Schizosaccharomyces pombe: one gene and its partners. The protein of the gene in region 2 purifies or fractionates together with the protein of the main gene of each other region. This does not show direct contact. Each region holds a gene or a part of one and is shown on either strand. Other genes may lie near its edges. The genes, in order: usp102, prp11 and sap14.

Evidence for each region.
Region 1: the proteins of prp11 (region 2) and usp102 purify together in Schizosaccharomyces pombe (affinity purification with mass spectrometry, with the first as the bait; one study listed by BioGRID). This does not show direct contact.
Region 3: the proteins of prp11 (region 2) and sap14 purify together in Schizosaccharomyces pombe (affinity purification with mass spectrometry, with the first as the bait; one study listed by BioGRID). This does not show direct contact.

What each region holds. Positions count from the first base shown.
Region 1 is NC_003423.3:3,422,722-3,426,474, reverse strand, and holds usp102 (U1 snRNP-associated protein Usp102), read left to right. Parts: upstream 1-1,995; 5' UTR 1,996-2,243; coding exon 2,244-2,364; exon of another isoform or gene 2,365-2,417; coding exon 2,418-2,687; exon of another isoform or gene 2,688-2,744; coding exon 2,745-3,103; 3' UTR 3,104-3,253; downstream 3,254-3,753. Other genes in the region: ESCRT II complex subunit Vps25, read right to left, coding at 3,281-3,469, 3,514-3,662, 3,718-3,753. UniProt on the Schizosaccharomyces pombe protein: Involved in nuclear mRNA splicing.
Region 2 is NC_003421.2:517,620-523,510, reverse strand, and holds prp11 (ATP-dependent RNA helicase Prp11), read right to left. Parts: upstream 4,000-5,891; 5' UTR 3,972-3,999; coding exon 927-3,971; 3' UTR 614-926; downstream 1-613. Other genes in the region: rad16 (DNA repair endonuclease XPF), read left to right, coding at 5,608-5,876. UniProt on the Schizosaccharomyces pombe protein: ATP-dependent RNA helicase involved in pre-spliceosome/complex A assembly and mRNA splicing. Bridges U1 and U2 snRNPs during pre-spliceosome assembly and enables stable U2 snRNP association with intron RNA.
Region 3 is NC_003423.3:2,049,448-2,052,556, forward strand, and holds sap14 (Pre-mRNA branch site p14-like protein), read right to left. Parts: upstream 1,322-3,109; 5' UTR 1,249-1,321; coding exon 1,005-1,248; exon of another isoform or gene 912-1,004; coding exon 811-911; 3' UTR 550-810; downstream 1-549.

The DNA of each region.
Region 1 (3,753 bases), on a different chromosome or scaffold from region 2:
CGCAAGGCGAAAAAATAATACCAATGGTGGCCATACGTATTGGAACCAGCAAATATCAAAGTTTAAAACACAGCATACTCTCATCGCTGCATGACTATCTCAAAGCTGGCAATAGAACAATTAACGTTACGGAACCATAATCCTTCAAATTTCGATTGCTTGCATTCTCGAGCTCCACATATTCGAGTCCATAACGGAACTAACCTAAATGCGGAGTTCCTCTAGTATTAACTAGTAACATGAATAGAGCATAGCCGTGCTCTTTTTTTTTAAGAAAACGTCACGCAACGTGTATCTTATCTCTGTCCTATCCAAGTCAGGATAGCTAGGGGCCCCCAACCTGGAGACCATACATCGACCGCGACACCAACCATCCTAGCGAGACTCCCTAACAAGAAGGTAAATATGGATGGACAATGAACCTTTTCAAAAAAAAACAGAATTCTCAAGCGATATATTCGCTCTTGAACAGTTCGGTGTAAAAGGATACTTCTATCCCTTGATTACGTGTACGCCCATACTTCATTCGGACTATAGAAGAAATATGGAGCTGTAACCCGTACTGCAATTGTCTGTGTTAAGAAAATGTAAACGCTGCACACTAAATCATCACTAATTCATCGCTAACTAACGTAGTCCCTAAAAAGTTATGAACTTGGTAAACGACTTTTGAGGCCTTGGGACCTCCTTAAATACGCCCAACTCATTACTAACAAGGTTTGCTATGTCCGTGAAAAGCGCCTATTGTACATATATTGCTCCCATATATGTGAAGCTTTTGCCCAATCATTGTAAGACAGGGTCTTGCTATATTTCCCTACCCCGCTCCATTCTTCCCAAGTCTGAGAAAAACTGTGGAGAAGCCTACCAATTTTGCCTAAGGGGATTTTGATCCCGCCTCTGCAATCTATTGGACGATAATAGCTATAACTACATTTGATTGGATGAAAGACATGTGATGAATGCTGGATGGTTTTGTTGTTTTTAAATGACCACCGATAATTTTTTTAGTTAGTACGCATACATTGATGAAAGCTGAAAAATTATAATAGGGTGAATAAATGAAATTCTTTTTGTGTCTTTTACTCTAATATCGTCTGGCAATTTTCTATTTTCGTACTTCGATAGCGCCATACATGTCTTGTCACCCGTTTTTACGAGCTAGGCTTAGAAATATCTTGGAATTTTTTTTCAGACATGTTGATGATTGGCTGATACTTTTTCCAGTTCTGCCTCCTCCACAATTTGCATCCGCGTTTTCCAGAGACGTTGGGGCAATAACTTTGTCTAACATTAAATTGAAATTACAAGGGTAAGTATTTGAATCAAGACTAACCTTTATACGTTGAATGTCTTCGATATTGTAGAGAATGCCTTGAAAAAAAAATTTTATTTGTGTTAATACAATCTAATATTGTGGAATAAAAAATGGTTTGTGACTGCTCTTCTGTTCTCGGCTGTTGTATTTCTTAATAGGACGGCTCGTAAAATTCGTTATTTGCGCGTCCAGTACACCATCGATTCCCATATTATCCACAGTTTACAAATAACAATATTTATATCATTTTCTTTACTTTGGGTAAACGCTCTCTTTCAGTAACTAAATCAATTGTTGTTTATAAAATTTTTATTCTTTTGTTTGCGCGTTCAAAATTTGTCTGCACGGTAAATCATTAACGCATAAACTCGGTTCTTTTACCTAGGTATCTCGTAAATTATATAAGGATTTGTACCATATTGTAACAAAATACAAGGCAAACTGAATTATTGTACAGATTATCGTATTCACTATTCAAGCATTCGTAACTTTTTCTGCAACTGAAAACAAGATTAATGAGCAACAACATGGTCAAACATAGCGATGCGTTATCGTGTTAAAACTACGTCCATTTATTGAAGTTCTTCCTTTCGCGATCTTTAACTTGGATAAGGAGTGTTTCTCTCCATTTGATATTTGGTACATTAGAGTACTGTATTTTGAAAACAAGCGCTTTTAGAATACATCCAACGAAATATTAATGCTGGCTATAATTTACATTTTGAAATTGAATGTAAAGTCAACCATTACGAGCCATATTTACTAAAACAAGGTGGTACCTGAAAGACTACTTCTTTTGGTAATTAGCTGGAATTTAATGCCATAAGCTGGATTGTCTTCCAATTTTTAAATACTCGTGTTTTTTGATTCATCATAACATTAGTGCCGAAATTCACTGTGAATATCTTTTTATATTTAACATCCAATGGATCCTCAAACAAATTCGCATCAAGAGGTTCAACAACCATCTCCTAAAGAGACAGACTCTCAAACACCGTCAGAGACTCTCTACATACGCAACATTGAAGAAAAAATTCGTCTTACTAGTATGCCACTAATTTAAATTGTTTTAATTTAATTTAATTTCTAACAATCGTAGTGTTGAAACGAATTTTAGAACATCTCTTTGGGTCTTATGGTAAAGTCATAGATGTTCAAGCAAGAAAGACTTTGCGAATGCGCGGTCAAGCATTTGTAGTATTCGACAACTTGGAGAACGCGTCACGAGCGTTAAAGGATTTACAAGGATACCCTTTGTATGGAAAGCCCATGATGATACAGTACAGTAAATCTAAAAGCGATATTATCGTACAAAGAGAATCTCCTGAAGAAATAGAAACTAGGAAAAAAGATAGGAAAAATAGGAGAGGTATAATCTTTTTTATTCTAAAATCAAAGACCTCACTTTACTAACCTTATATTATAGAAATGCTTAAACGGACTAGCGCTCTTCAACCCGCAGCTCCCAAACCCACTCATAAAAAGCCGGTTCCTAAACGTAATGTTGGAGCTGAGCGTAAATCGACAATTAATGAAGATTTGTTGCCTCCTAATAAGGTACTTCTGTTACAAAATATCCCTCAAGAAGTAAACGCAGACGTCCTTACACAAATTTTCGAAGCGTTTTCTGGATTTCAAGAAGTACGTATGGTTCCCGGTAGAAGAGGAATTGCATTTGTTGAATACGATTCTGATAGAGAAGCAACGGTCGCAAAAAATGGGACAACAGGTATGTCCCTCAGTGGAAATCAAATAAAGGTAACATTCGCTCGGAAGGCCTCGTAGTTGATTCTGCAACTATTTTAATTCCCTCTTTCAAATTTTTGTTGCAATAATCATCCAAAAGTCACCTTTCGAAATATATAAAGCTCCTATCATTTTCATAATTGATCATTTGTGTATATAAATTATATAATGCAATTTTGCAGGCCCAAAATTATGTATATCAAGCATGTAATTATGTTAAGCTTTCAGTACCTTGAACCCGCTATATTTTCCAGACGATCCTTTCATTAATTCGATATTTCCTTTTTTCATTAGTAGCTCAAGAACTTTATGGAGGAGTACTTCGTCTAAACAATCTACCTCTTTATATTGTTCTTGAAGTTCGTAAAATGTACATATAGACCCTTCTCGTCCCATATCGGATAGCTGTAAAACAATTAGTACTTTCGACTATGCAGAAAATGGCTTACCCATTTCAAGATCATATTCCCCCATTCAGATATAGACCTCCAGTATACCCAAAACACGTCTTTAGGATTTCGCTTTTCAGTCCATTCTGCTAGGTTTTGTTTCACCATATCCTCTACTATTTCTCGAAACACCGAAAGAGGCAGCGTTCCTATTTGGTAAGAAAGAAAGTTAGCACTAAGGAGTAATACAAAGAGTTTTCTTACTATGAATTGTACTGTTATGAAGCAAAGAACTTTCTA
Region 2 (5,891 bases):
TAGGTCAGCGCACCTATTAAATAATTAACAAATGTAAAAACAGGATTAAAAAGGCAAAAAAGAAAGAAAAGAAGGAGCCTACAGCACCCCGGATTCCCATGTTGTCTCCAACCATAGTACTAACGAGGCCCTCAGACGCTTAACTGCAGTGATCGGACGGGAACTGGTGTTTTCGCCTAGGTATGGCCGTAGACAATCTACGTTTACTTTAATGCCCTTTATAATAAAAAAGAAAATAGTAAAAAAAATAAATTTTTGCATTCATTTAATACAATGTACATCGAAATTGTAATTATATAACTTGATGCAGTGTTAGTACAATATAGTTCGCATACAGTTAGTTTGTTTAGGTCTTATGCAAATAGTCGGAGAAAAATTAAATAATTGAAGGTTTTTACTTCTACGCTAAAAAATTCTGATTTTTATAATTTTAACTTCTTTTAAACCCATCAATCATGAAATCAAGCATTCACTGACAGAACCTTTTTCTCAAATAAACAACTATGGGATTGATTGCCTACTATTTGTGTTTAGCACTGATAATTGAAGGCCAAAAATTACATTTTATTTCTTCTCTTCACAAAAGATTAAATTCAACCATTAGTTTATTGTTTACTATAAATACTGTGGATTACAAAAAGCAAATACCCTAACACTATTTCAGGAAAGCAGTTGGAAAAGTACTCGCTTTAAAAATGTGAATAAAATCATTCTTTCCCGCTTTTACTTTGCGATGAAAAAAGATACATGCCTTAATTTTCATGCCAAAATCCATATATGTTTAGTTAAAATAATAAATATTGACATTTCTAATCATTAATTTTTCATAACCACTTTTGCCCTTCCCCAAAAAAGCACGTAACGTATTCAATTGATTAATTTTAAACGAGTGTAGGTCTCTTTTTCAAAAGGATAGACCGAAAGTACTAGACAACTGTGTATCGTCCAGAAGCACTTGGTTTGTTACCTCCTTCCAAACTGTGGTTAATTCCTTCAAGAAGAAGCCGTCTCAATTCAGTGATGGCTCGGTTAACAACAAGCTCAGATGGACCTTCAATCCACAAGTACAACTTTTCCTCTCCTGGTTCAGGGTTTTTACCTGGCAAGTAGAAATTACCCTTAGTAGTGATACTTGTGCCAGTTAACTCCGTTACATGTACAATATTTGTGTTATTAGTAACGGCCCAACGAGCTTGTTGAGGATAGTCATTAATTTCCATTTTAGCTTTATACTCATCACCATCGGTTTTTATTATAGAAATTGGCTGAGTAAGCTTGTTAGATTGTGCAGTTTGGTTGGCAAATGCACGAGCAGCAATTCCACCCACAGCAGCACGAACTCTATCGAGCGTGGGATCACCGGTAGATTTTTCAGGAGTAATCTTTTCCAACGGGCTTTTTGCTTCAGCTTCAGTCTCTACATCTTCCTCGTCCTCACCATAGGCCTTACGCTGCATTTTACGCTCAGCATTTCGAGTTTCATCCAGTCGTGATAACCCTTTGCCGCCAAAACCTCCACCCGCTGCTTTCTCTTTACCAGCCTTAACTTTCTCGAGGAATTGGGAAGCAAGAGTTTGTAGTTCTTTTGGAACTGGTTGTTTACTCATCTTTAAAGCCTTGGCAATGTCTACGGCGTACTTTTCCTGTTCTGGGGTTATAAAGGTAACAGCTACACCAGTATGGCCAGCACGGCCTGTACGACCAACACGATGCACGTAATCCTCCATATGATTAGGGCAATCATAATTTACCACCAGCTGTAAAGATTTAACGTCAAGCCCACGAGCAACTACACTAGTTGCGATTAATACATCAAATACTCCTGCTTTATAATCACTGATGGTTGAGTCGCGATCGTGTTGATCCTTACCGCCATGAATTGAATTACTTGTATACCCGCGTTTCATAAGGTCCGACAAAAGTGCATCCGCAGACTCTTGTCTATCCACAAAAACAAGTGTACGTACATCAAGTTGATTGTTGTACAACTCACCTAACAGCTCTAATAGCCGAGAAAACTTGCTTTCCTCAGGCCGTACTTCAACGATTTGCTCAACCTCAGAAGCAACAACCGACCGTCCGCCAACCGTAATCTCTACAGGTTTCTTTAAAACTTTCCTTGCAAGGGCTTCCATAGCACGAGGAAAGGTAGCTGAAAATAGTACGGTTTGCCGATCAGGTCGAATATTGTTAATAATTCTCATGACTTGCGGTTCAAATCCTAAATCAAACATACGATCGGCCTCATCCAAAACCAAATAAGTGCAGCGGTGTAAGTTAGTAACACGTCCTGCATTCGCACTTAAAACATCAATCATACGTCCAGGAGTACAAACTACGATTTCTGCACCGCGTTTTAAATCAGCAATTTGGTCTTTAATAGGGGCACCTCCATATGCACAACACGCACGAATGTTCAATAACTTTAAGAAAGGTTTACATTCGCGAAAAATTTGCACAGCCAATTCACGAGTAGGAGTCATTATTATTGCAATAGGACCCTCTCCTGTTTTTAATGGGCGCTGATCTTTGATGTGTCGAAACATAGGAAGAAGAAAAGCAATGGTTTTTCCACTTCCTGTTTTAGCTACGCCAATTACATCTCTGCCAGAAGTAATCGCTGGAATTGCTTGTGCTTGAATAGAGGTTGGTTTTTCGTATCCCAAGGAATTGATCACGCTTATGGTTTGGGCAGATAAACCACATTGACTCCAACTAGTAACTGGCTTCGGGCAATCAATACCACGAATTTTAATACCATCTAAAGAAGCCCGTAGTTCATCAACTTCAGCTGGTGACAGATTTTTGAGCTCTTCAGGTTCAACATAGAAATCCTTTTTGAAATCTTCATAATTTATTTTTGAGTGATCAACTGTGATTACGTCTTTCTTTTTTGATCGTTTTGCAGCAAGAGCAAGTAAATTTTCTTCCTCTTCCAAAGTCTCTGAAATTACCATGCGCTCGTCATCGTTTGCATTCGGATCAATGACCTCCGTATTTAATAAACCAGGCCTTATGGTATCAGTGGTACCAACCAAAGAGGCCATGTAAGCATCTAAAGGATCTACTTCGTCTTCCTCCATGCTAGCTGCTTGCTCATTTCCTAGCATACCCCGGTCTTCTTGGTCCCAAAGCTCCTGGTAGTCTTCAAGATTCATACGCCTAGGACCATCTTCATCATCCATGTGAACTCGGTTATTTCGCTTCATATCCGAAGTATCTTTTTGGCGATTAATCTCAAACCCGGATATACCAGTTGAAGGCATAGCATTCTGGTCTTTGGCTGTAACCTGCGGCTTTGTATTCAACTTGTGCTCCTCCTTCTTGGAAGCCTCCTGTTTTGCCTTTGACTCTTTCCACGCTCTAACTCGTTCTAGCCTGGCGAGTAGCTTAGCATCCGTAATTTTGTCTGACGCTACTGGCTTTTCAGCATTTCGTTGATGATTATTTTCAACAGCTTTATCCTTGGGAATTACATCAACTCGTGGATTTTCAGATTGAATTTCTGAAACACTTAAAGAAGCACCAACTCTCTCAGTTCGATCAAATCGAGAACGTCTAGGCTGAGGCTTTATTTCAGTTGCGGAACCTTGTAATACAGGATTTGTTTCATCTGATTTAGTTTTATTGTCTACTTCTTTTTCCTCAGCATGTCTATGAGATGTTGGTCGCGGTGACCTACCAATATACTGATCGGGAATATTCTTTGATCTCGCATACTCTCGATCTCGCTCTTGATACCTTTTTTCGTAACTATACTTATCATGCTTCCAAGAATTATCTCTTCTAATTTTATTAGACTCGTGAGAACGAAAAGAATCATGCCTATCTCGTCGACTTGATACATCGTCTACGTATCGGTTATACCGTGCACCCTTTTGATCTTCAGAGTCATCATATTTTCGGTAATCTCTTCTTTCTCTATTGTAGGATCGCCTTGGAGGCGACCTTGATCGTGTTCTTCTAGACATCAAAAACTGGGTGTTGTGATATGTACACGAAGAGTTTTAATGAGGCAAGTAAACGACATAAATTACTTTATATAGCAATATATATTATGCATATGATATTAGTTCACTACTAGATATAATTTACATTATTATAGTTAACCTCTTTATGATTATTTATACAAGTCATATGGGGTTTATTAAAAAGCAATGAATTTGCCAGTTAAGTCGGTAAAGCAACCTGAATTCTGTGCAATTTATAAATCTTAGAAGTAATATTCATTTTTTATTTCAGTTATTTAAAATTTAATTATGGTTCCCTACACTGGACCTTCAACTTAACCAGTAAAACTCGGAAAAATAATCAACACTGGTATATAAGTAATTTTTTCAACACCGCTTACATTTTGATTGTTGCTGAATTTTTATTGCTTTTGTACTAAAGATAATATCGGAAAACCGAGAAATAAAAGACGATAAAAAATTTTATTGATTGGCGAATAGGCGAGTTAGCTCTTTTTATTTACAATATTTCTTTTTTTATGTAAATAACTATTGGGGTTAAGGCTTGGAATCCACAATTCTTGATTACTAGTAAGGTACTCTTTCAAATGTCTGTTAAACAGTCATCTACAATAGAATGTAATAAGTCAGATAATTTAGAGCGTACATAAATTAAGAAAAGCCATTATTTCCATTCCAAAAAAGAAAAAAAAAAAAGCATAATTGAAATTTACATAATGTTATACTTTTTCTATAATGTTTATGTTTTTGCGCTCTTCGACCAATAATATTGACTTAGCAGAAAACCAAAAAACGAAAATTCTTTAGTAATGCCAAATGAAAGAGAAAATTATTTATGTGTATATTTATTTTTATTTTTTTTAAGTGTATTTTTTCGCCATTTACTCGATTTAACAGTGATAGTATTAATAGCTGGCATTATTTTTCTGGTATTGCTTTATAATTTGATATACTTAATACTGGGATAATTGTTTTTAGGATGAGCAATGGTTATACGCATGTAATGAAGTTAGAAACCGACAGCAAATAAATCTTACATTTTGAAAGAAAATTTAAAAAATATGGTTGTCCAAATACAAGCGATGGGATACCCCAACGTGAATACATGGAAAGATTGAATGTAGAGTATCTAATTAAGGAGAATTAAGCTAAGGCATGAACTATGCCCGAAACTGAGCAATGGTTAAAGAGTATATTAAGTAATTTATTTTACCCAATATATTGAAACTAGTTTAACCTCTAGTTGGTATGTATAGTTGGTTGCTCATTTTTACTGATTGCTGTATTCCATTCACTCTTTCATCTTTAGGTTAAATATTTGTATTTGGTTCTCCTTGGATACTTTTATCAGTTGGTAATCATTTTTAAATTCATTGTCTTATATAGGATTTTTGTTTTGTACAGATTCTTCCTTTCATCATCCTTGAGAGTCTCTTAACTTCACGATCCGCCTAAATTCCTAAGAAGGAGTCTATCTCATGCTACTGTTTTTTATTTAACACATTTGTGAACGGAAATAGAAATAGAGTTGATTATTCCATCCAAATTGGAAAATTTTCGCATCAAAGTATTTAACAGCTTTCAGAAATCAAAATTGCAAATTGGAAAATCTCTACGAATAACACCACCATTAAATATGGAAACAAAGGTTCATTTGCCTCTTGCTTACCAGCAGCAGGTTTTTAACGAACTTATTGAAGAGGATGGTCTGTGTGTAATTGCACCAGGTTTGTCATTGCTACAAATTGCAGCAAATGTACTCTCATATTTTGCAGTTCCAGGATCCCTTCTTTTGCTTGTTGGAGCAAACGTTGATGACATTGAATTGATTCAACATGAAATGGAAAGCCACTTGGAAAAAAAATTGATTACTGTAAATACAGAAACTATGTCGGTTGACAAACGGTAAGCTTTGGTAAC
Region 3 (3,109 bases), on a different chromosome or scaffold from region 2:
GGAGGTATGGCATTTTAATGTTGAGCAACGTTCAGTCGTTCGTCGTTGGCAAGTTCAAGATGGTGTATCTACCACTCATTTTTGTTTGGACCCATCTAATAAGTATTTGGCAATTGGTAGCAAGAGTGGTATTGTTAATATATATGACCTCCAGACATCCAATGCGGACGCTGCACCAAAACCTGTCACTACATTGGATAATATTACTTTCAGCATAAATAGTATGAGCTTTTCTCAAGATAGTCAAGTTTTAGCTATCGCATCTCGAGGAAAGAAGGATACTCTACGACTCGTTCATGTTCCCAGCTTTAGTGTGTTCCGTAATTGGCCCACCAGCGCTACGCCTTTAGGCAGAGTTACATGCCTAGCTTTTGGTAAGGGTGGTGAGTTATGTGTTGGTAATGAAGCTGGAAGGGTTGGACTTTGGAAACTAGCTCATTATGATTTGAAGTTTGTGCCAGATAAAATTATTAATTGGGAAATACGGTTGGGCAAATTTGGATACGTTTTATTAGGGATTCAAATCTTAATACTACATGTAGACGTTGTTATATTATAGATCAATGCATTACATTATTATTACTAAAAAGCTTTAAGCGAAATATAATAAAATTCAAGTCCTTATAGTACCTTTTTTATACCTAGGTTCGAAACACTAGTAAACGATTGTTTAATATGAGCCGATTCATTTTTCTGCTGTATGTTCTCTTCAACAGAATTTATAGAAAGAGGAAATCTATTACACGTTAATGGAGTCAATATCAGACTCCTAATTTGTTTGTTTTTTTTTGGTAAATAAATAGTAAACGTTCACTGAACACCGTATTTTTGCTTAACTTGTTCCAAGGCGGCATACCTTGCTGCCAAATCTTGACCATCAACCTTAGCTCTTTCAGGGTTATAATAATGCACTAAAAAAAAAGTTAACAAGAAGATATTAAAAAGCCGTTAGAAAGGAGAAATTAAAATTAATAGTAGCTAATACATTCCCTAAGATAACGTACCAACCAAGTATCTATCCATGAAGTTGTAGCCAGAAAGCTTTTCGCAAGCTCGACGAGCGTCTTGAACGTTTTCATAAACCACAAATGCAGTACCTCTTGTTTGAACCGTATTCCCCAGCCTTATTTGTCGTACAGGACCATACCTACCAAAAAGATCGTACATCTCTTCTGCTGTAATTTTAAAAGACAAGTTCTTGATGAATAGGATAGAATTGACTTCTTGATTAACTGTAGATGGAGGCATTTGTTATTTTTACGATCTTAACACTTTTTGTTAAAAAAATCAAATTTCGAAAAGAAATGATTTGGTTTGCTTTGGAAAGGATAAATATTCCTAAAAGGTTGGTTGGGATCAGATGGAAAATACTCGTTATCACAGCTTGGAGATTGATGTTGTATAGTCAATCCTATACGTGAGTTTAATTATAGTAGAAAAGATTGAGACATGAATATTAAAGGTTACGTTTCGTGGTTTGGACAAGAAGAGGTATATGCTGGGAAATCGAATGGACCAACAGATCGTAGACAAAACGGTTCAACCTTTTACCAAAATTTTCCTCTTCTTTTACCTGGTAACTCCAAATGTCAAATGCAATCCTTAGTTCATGAGATCTTTGATCAGAGTTGAAACTGACATGGCGGTGATTTCAATAGAGAGTCAATTTAAAGTGATTTTCAAATTATACATAACTAGTTGAAAATCATAAACATTTTTATTGGTATTTTTTGCTTCCTCGTTTGTCTATCCTACAGGAAATAGGTTTCAACTTTAAAACTGACAATTGCAAAGAATAGTTTGATAGTATAGTTGTATCATCAATTTATATTTTTCCTTATTTCTTTACTTTCTTTTAACTTATACTCTTGTTTGGCAATGGGACTTTTATCAAGGAAACAATTTGGTATCATTGATCTTTTGCCTACAGACCAACTAGTTCATCAATTTCTTCTCAAGTTCTTTTGAAATTTCTTAAATTTTTTATTTCCTGATCCCAGAAAACTACATCTGCAAAATTAATGATTCATTTTACGCTTCCAATGCCATGCTTTCGTATATAAGTGATAGCAACAGAGACACTAAAGGGAAAGGATAGCTTTGTTGAATATGTGGATCTTACTGTACTTCATTTTATCTAATTTGAAAGATTTCTCATTGCTCTTTGCTTACAACTGCTCTTAATTGAGAATGTGCTGCATTGCAAATGCTGTTTTGAAGCAATTTAGGAAATTACAGAAAAAAGAAACTATAGTAGCGTTTACAATTTCGAAAACTATACTAATAATTTTAACTAATGAAGCTAGCTATATTCATTATGATAAGCAGGAACTAAGTATTTAAAAAAGTAAATAATGTTGTACAAAAACGAAATAAACCAACTAACGTTAAAGTACGAAATTAATTGACTCATCTATAACCGTTCTTTATTTTTTTTATTTTTTCAATGAATAAAGCTATTGGCATTGATTGCTAATCTGGTTTGATATATGATATACATATTTTTCTTTTTGAAGTATTGAACAATTCTTTTTACGCTTCTAGTAGATTAATTACCATTTACTCTTTTTTTAAAAAAAATAAATAAATAAATAAATAAATAAAATTTTGTATATTCAAGTGGTTTCTGCTCATTAGCCTAATTCGCAAATAACTCTAGTTTAACATAAAATTTAACTTGACGAAATGCGAAAAATGTCTTGTACGACAAAATTTCAAGAGTTAGGATTGAGAGAAGAATTAAAAAACAATAGAACAATAAAACTATTGCACGTAACCCCTAAAACTTGTTGAAATTGGCAATGTTGATTAAATACCTATATCTGAATTAATTTACGAGAGAAAAAAACCTAAACGAAAGATTAATAAAAGCGCATATTTAAGGAAAAATTTTTCTATGAATAATTTCTCTTTTCATCCATTAATCGCCTTCTTGACCCATTTCTTCTCTTGTATTTACATTTTCATCTTAAGTAACACGTCACCTACATCAAGCATCCAGGTAGTCATCGTGGCAAGCATGAATTTGCTCTTTCCCCATATTCGCTACTGAGGTGTGCAGCCCTTCCGCGGCGTCATTGGAACTTCCACTGGGCCGGAAAGGCAAGAA